Danio rerio: one gene and its partner. The protein of the gene in region 2 purifies or fractionates together with the protein of the main gene of each other region. This does not show direct contact. Links are inferred from orthologs where the notes say so. Each region holds a gene or a part of one and is shown on either strand. Other genes may lie near its edges.

Region 1 (3,573 bases), on a different chromosome or scaffold from region 2:
ACGAAACACTCTGCACCATCAAAGGCACCCGCAGCAGCACCCAAAACACAGAGAAAGACGCTTACCATCACACAAAAAGTTGAACTTCTGGACATGCCAAAGGAAGGTAGAAGTTACACGGCTGTAGGGCACCATTACAGAATAAATAAATGAAGATCAAATGGTTTTGATCTTTGATTTCATTCTATAACACTGGATTCTTTTTTTTATGAAAGTTTGAACTTTGAGTGTTTAAAATAGAGAAAAGTGTGAAAATGTTCATGCCTGTCTGAGAAAAGTGCATAAAGTGTATAGTGAGGAGTTTTTCAGCCTTAAAACATCTAGAATAATTATAAAAAGTAAAGCTGACTACTTCGCAAATTTCGCCTATGGTGGGTTATTTTAGGAACATAACTCCTGCAATTAACGAGGGACCACTGTATTTAAAGTCATGCAGTTAAACTTTAAAAGACATTACCATAAACAAAATGTATATTACATTATATCATTATATTACATTATATCATTATATAATATAATATAATATAATATATTATTATATTATATTATATTATATTATATTATATTATATTATATTCCTGACTAGGGTTGTAACAATATACCGGTATGACGGTTTACCACGATTTGAACGTGCACGATTATCATACCATGAACAATTGCATATCAACGGTTTTAACCCTTAAAGACCGAGACAGCCGCCCGTGGCTAAAAATAAGTATTGCTCTTAAATGTTTAATAACTTTTGATCCGCTGATCCGATTCATACAATTCAAAGATTGGCATGAAGAAGAGAATCCAGTGCAGTGCTTTCCAGTGCTGTATCACATAACATTCGCGGACTTTCAGAGGCTCCGGAATCAGTGCGGTTACGTCATGAAAATTTGACAACGCTGATTTGACAAAGAAACGCTCGTCACTGTGTCTCCGGACAAATCAGACATGATACATTGATGCATTGTCCCTCCTCCATGCCCAGATTGGTTCAAACTCGCTATATCACAACCAATAAGCGTAGGTTTCGCTTTTGTTTGTGGACCAACACTGAGCTTTTTGAACAACACGGAATGAGAGATAAAACGCAAAAAAAAAAAAGTTTTGCATGAAATAATTCTCATACTAAGTACTTTTGCATGCACAGCAGCACAGAAACATGACAAAACAGTGACACAGCAAAGACGAACTGCTGCTCTTGCTGTTTTCAAAAGACGCATGAAGGTGCAGCTGTTTGTCTGCATTGCAGACAACCATATCCAAATCCATATCCACAGACAACCATATCCATGCTGGCACATAAAACCTAAAGATGTTCCATATTGAATCTAGTTTCGTTATGTAACTATTTATAGGATAGTAAATATTTATATCTATTTTTACTGAGGATTTGCACCATATTTATTTGGACTTTGACACATTATTTATTATTTTCTTATTTTTTTATTTGTTCTTTGTAAGCGGTGTTGTTTATAGTAACTAAAATATATATTATTTGGAAAAAGTCAAATTTGCTTCACTGTTCTATTATTTTGTAACATTTGTAACATACCGTATACCGCGAAACCGTCAAACCGTGGTATTGTTTAAGACGATTATCATACCGTAAAAAATTCATACCGTTACAACCCTATTCCTGACATTTGTATATTTTTTAATAAAACCCCATTTTTGCATTAACTACATATTGATTAAACTATATTTACAATTTTTGATCTTTATGAACATTTTTTCTCACCACTGGTGCGACCCATGGCTGTATGAAGCTGCTCAACTCAGACGTGTAGAACTCTGAAACAGAGTTTTGTCGTCCTCTGTGAAGAGCGCTTTTGTCCCAGAGGGGTGCGTGAGGTTGAAGAGGGAGGCTGGAGGGGCTCAGGGTGGGTGTTGGAGGAGAAGGTGGTCTGGAGCAGAGCAGGAGAGATGAAACCCGCTCCTGTAGGCGGTTCAGTGCAATCTGAGGGTCCTGAATGAGGAGCAACGGCGGCTGGACAGGAGACGCTCCCTTCCTTCTCTTTCCACGACCCTTACCTGAATGAAAACAGGAATGATATGCTGTGTTTAATGTACAGTACAAATATGGTTTCAGGAAGCTTGTGTTTTGAGGATCGTTTGCACTTTCAGCCTTCATTCAGTCACCTATTTTTAGGTCCATTTGGGATTATTGCATAAAAATACTTTATGGAAACAACAAGATGCCCATTCATTTTGAAAATGACAAAAATAAATGTACACAACTGAGTCAAGCTATTGTTAGATAAAAAACTTGGAAAAACACTTACTGAAAAAATTCCAGCATGTGTTTCAGAAAAGTCAGAATTTCAGAAATGTGATTTTGTATTAACAGATAATGTGATGACAAAAATAGGTGCGATGGGACAATGTTAATGAAAAAAACAGTGAATCAACCACAATGTAAAACATCTGAATTGCTGTTTTGGTCATTCTAAAATCAAAAATCTTTGGTCATTCTAAAATCTAAAATTCTAAAACATCGAGTTTGCATGTTCTCCCTGTGTTCACGTGGGTTGATGAATGAATGAATGAATGATCACAGGAATTTGTGGAAATTGACATGAAGAGCTGAGTTGACCTGCTCCAGGTTTCCACTTTAGGACAGGAGCTGTGGCTGCAGGAGGGCTGGAGATCTGAGCCAGAATTTCCCTCTGCTCCTCCAGCTCTCGCTTTTTCTCCACCTCCTGCTCCAGCAGAGAGCGGGACAGAGCCAGCGCCATCATGGTGTCCTCATCCAACTTCTGCCCTTTCCTCCTGCTCTTCTTTTTCACAGGCACACCATCCCTCCTTACAGCACCACCCACTTGTTGCCTGAAGAAAGATTGAATTTATAAGTTGGTAAAGTCCAATTTTTATTTTACATATTTAGAAATTGACAAACACCTATATACAGTACTGTGCAAAAGTCCTAAGCCTTTTGACCTAAGACTTTTGCACAATATATAATCAATCCATCTCTTTTAATTAAAAACTAACAGAAAATTTAGGAAATACATAATAAACAACAGCACAACTTTTCCGCTTCCAGCAAAGGTCAATATTTAATGTGGCTGCCAATAGCACAAAGCACGGCTTGAACTGTTTTGTTTTAATTGTCCTGACATTTTCTGACATGTGTTGTGTAATATCAGGCTTCTTTTAGCACTTTCCAGAGTTCTTCTTTACGTTTAGAATGTCTTTATCTTTTCTCTCCAGGTGATCTCATTCAGCCTCTTTAACATTCAGGTCTGGACCCTGTGGAGGCCGTTTCATGACTGTGTTTCATCTGCTGTTTTCTTTCTCCAAATATGAATTATGCTGGAAATGAAAACTATTACTACTGAAGCCTTTTCCAGAAAAAAAGACATAATGGCTTAAAAGCTCTCTGTTCTTTTCAACATTCACAATTCCATCAATTCAGACAATATTGCTAACAACACTGGTAGAAATGCAGCTCACAAAAGGACAAACACCCTCTCTCTCTAACACTCTTTTACATGTCTTAAACAACTTAACCAAAATAATTCAAACTCTAACCTAACCTAAATTCTATCCTAACAAATCATACATCCACTCACTTAAAGATAA
Region 2 (3,573 bases):
TACACTATGACTTTATGTAAAATTAACTTTAATGTGTGATAGGAATAAAAAGTGATCATAAACGAATGATTTCTCCACTTAAGTGAATGGCGGCTTGGACCCGGAAACAGTATTACATGCGTCACAAACACGTCATCACTTAACAAGCGGGTAGGGTGCTTTGATGTTTGAGATGAAAACAAGAATAAAAGAATAAAAGTTGATGGTGTGTTATCAGATTGCAAATATGTAATTGTAATTTCTAAATTGTAGACATTTCCTGATTTCAATTAATTAGACATGCTTTTAGACATTCAAACAGTGTCGAAAACATTTTCATTGATTAATTTTCTTTTCAGCTTAGTTCCTCTATTAATTAGAGGTCGCCAACATATTCAGCATATGTGTTACACAGCGGACGTTTTGCTATTTTGATAAACTATAATAGATTTTTTAATAGACCAAAACAAACCCGGTCTAAAGTCCAGTGCAGAGTTGTGCCTCGCTTACACACTGCCTAATACACACGAGATGTAGAGCAATACGCAAATATCTTTACATATGAAAAAGAATTAAAATATTAAGGATATATATATATATATATATATATATATATATATATATATATATATATATATATATATATATATATATATATATATATATATATATATACACACACACACACATATATATATACATACATACATATATTTATATATATATATATATATATATATATATATATATATATATATATATATATATATATATATATATATTTTTTTTTTTTTTTTTTTTTTTTTTTTATATATAAAAACCACTGCATTCATGCCTTCATCTCGGGAGGCTTTTTCAGTTCATTCAATTTGCTTTTGTATAATGTTATTATTATTATTAGCAGTTTTATTTATTATTTCCATATTTATATGGTTTATTAAAAACAAGCTTAGATTTGTCCACCTGCAGGTTTTAGACCATGTGGGGCATAGCATGTGTACTAGGATATAACTCAGATTTTTGACCACACTTTGTTATTATTGTTCATTTATTCGTTTGCTGGAAATTGGAACTGAATTTAGAAATAGTTTTGAAACAAATATTTGGACTTAACAAACTAAATTAATTATTTATAGGCTAACTGATGTCTGTGCGTAAAGGTTTCCCTATCCACGAGAGCGAAAGTAACCGTTAATCATTTATCTCTCATTCTCGTGCTGTACATGCTCTGTTTAACTGTTTTCTTGCTAGTAAAATGCTCAGTTTTTCCACTTACACTTACTTTACATCATTTAAATAGCAAATGTGCTGTGGCGCGATGCAACTGACTCTTAAAGGGAATGGGAGATGAGACTCTGATTGGTTTAATCTCAAAACACACCTATAAATCATTAAGAAAATAAACTCAACCCATTTAGACCATGCGCCACGGCGCAAAGCGGATTTTTCCGTCCTTAAAATAGCATAAATGGATTCTGACATGCCCTGAAAGCGTTTGCGCCCTGCGCTTTGCGCATGGACCGTCAAAATAGAGCCCATAATGTTGGTTTTATGTGACCTGAAACAGAAAGCAGCCTTCCCTCTATACTTAAAGCTAAGATACATAGGAGTTCAATTTTACATTAGGCTATATGTAGATAAAAACATTTATTATTACCCATTTCCTGATTTCAAAATGTATTTTTACAAACTGGATATCTGCAGTATGTGAGTTCAGAACACAAAAAAATCTGAAATTTTAAAATACGCCTATAAAAAAGTCCCGAAAATTTCAGTAATCTTACATTTCAGATGTTTAATATTGAAGTTATGAAATTCAAATTCAAAATAGGACATTAAAATTAATAAATTCTAATTAAGAAATTCAAATTTAGATTGTTTTGGCATATTATTAGCTCCATATGTTTACCGTTATTTTCGATCCATTAATGCATTCTTGCTGAATAACATAAGAACTTTCTTTCAAATGCGTAACCCAGAGCACTTTTAGGAAAACACTGACCTCCTGTCAAAAGCCGTGCTCAGCTGAACTCCATCTGGACCTTTTTCAATGATACTGACGAAGATCTGATCACGCTGGATGACATGAGGGTTCTCCAGGGATACAGGGAAAGGACTGGAAAAAAACGAGCAGAGAATTAGCATCCAGTCCACATGCAACTCATAAAAGCTGAGTGGGGACAGCTGGAGAAGAGGAGCACGGACATTTGCATTTCACAGGTGAAGGATGAGAGCGGCGAGAGGGTTCCGCTGGTCAGAATAATGCAGCGAACTTCCTGACGGAGCAACTCCTGCATGCTGAAGCCCGGAGAAAAACACCAGTAGCTCAGCACGTTCCCTTGAAAACATACACATGCCATTTAAATCTTTTATACAGCTTCGGTATACATGTTTAATGTGCAAAATTTTAAAAATTCGTTATTCCTATGCATTCAAGGAAGGGTTGCATGATATTGGAAAATATGTATATTGGTTTGGAATATGAATAGCTTGAACAGATCTATTTGGAAATAATTCACTCATTTAGACTGATTGGAATGATTTGTAGGAGAGTGAATGATGCATAAAGTATTACAAAGAAATTACAAGCATAGATAAATACAAGAGTAAGGATATAACAGTATTCAGGTTTGGATATGTAATAATCAAATCTAAAATAACAATGTATAGTCTTCATTGTGTATAAAATTGAATTAAATAAATCCAATTGCAATTTCTTGTGCCTGAATACTTAAAAGAGGTGGTCCAGAGTGTATTTTTAAGGCTTGGTTGTGTTTGTAAGATGCAAAGCAATGTGTGCTCATGCTTCACTTGTAGAAATATATATATATATATTAGGGCTGTCAAATGATTAAAAAAATTTACGTAATTAATCACATTTTTTTTCCTAAGTATTTATGATTAATCATGAAACCCGGTGTTATGCTAATAACAAACAAACAAACAAAAATTATTTCCATGTTGGATTCTAAGGGTACTTTCACACTAGCACTTTTGGTCTGCACCCGATTTCGTTTGACGTCATAGTACGGTACGGTTTAGCTAGTGTGAACGTGTCTTCTGAGCTCGGGTGCGCACCCGTGAACCGTACCCGAGTCCGCCTGAAAGAGGTGGTCTGGGGTACGGTTCATGTGAACTCTGGTACGGTTCTGGTACTTTTGATGTGAATGCAATTGTACCAAATCACGGAAGTGAACCACCAACTATACAACAAACTATCGTTTTCATAACGTTTGTTCGTTCGTGTATGTGTGTGTGTCACGTTTCGTACCTTGGTGACACGCGCTGGACTGAGCCAAGGCAAACACAGTGATGCACAGTGATGTCTGCTTGTCTCCTCCAAAAACAGCTTTTTGCAGCAGATGGACGCGAGTCGCTTTCTGTATGTCCCAAACCAAAAGCTTCAGTTAAAGCAGCATGACCGCGATGTGCGGAAGTCTTTCCATTTCAGCGCTTGCTGAACAGACAACGCGCGCAGTACAGCGGACCCGGAGAGCGAGGGATCCCTTCAGACTCATTAACAAGCATGATCGCGTTCACCAAATTTACTTAAACTAAGCGTTCTAAAGTATGTCTGTATTTTACAAGCAAGGA

What was found. Proteins that work in one complex are often made in the same cells at the same time.
Region 1: the proteins of rtel1 (region 2) and slx4 purify together in Homo sapiens (affinity purification with mass spectrometry; 3 studies listed by BioGRID, with this or other methods). This does not show direct contact. The link is inferred for Danio rerio from reciprocal best matches to the Homo sapiens genes RTEL1 and SLX4.

What each region holds. Positions count from the first base shown.
Region 1 is NC_133197.1:27,520,695-27,524,267, reverse strand, and holds part of slx4 (structure-specific endonuclease subunit SLX4), read right to left. Parts: intron 2,818-3,573; coding exon 2,585-2,817; intron 2,023-2,584; coding exon 1,730-2,022; intron 1-1,729. UniProt on the Homo sapiens protein: Regulatory subunit that interacts with and increases the activity of different structure-specific endonucleases.
Region 2 is NC_133186.1:13,308,576-13,312,148, reverse strand, and holds part of rtel1 (regulator of telomere elongation helicase 1), read right to left. Parts: exon of another isoform or gene 2,985-3,573; intron 2,790-2,984; exon of another isoform or gene 2,340-2,789; coding exon of another isoform or gene 2,318-2,339; coding exon 2,185-2,317; intron 2,096-2,184; coding exon 1,982-2,095; intron 1-1,981. UniProt on the Homo sapiens protein: A probable ATP-dependent DNA helicase implicated in telomere-length regulation, DNA repair and the maintenance of genomic stability. Acts as an anti-recombinase to counteract toxic recombination and limit crossover during meiosis.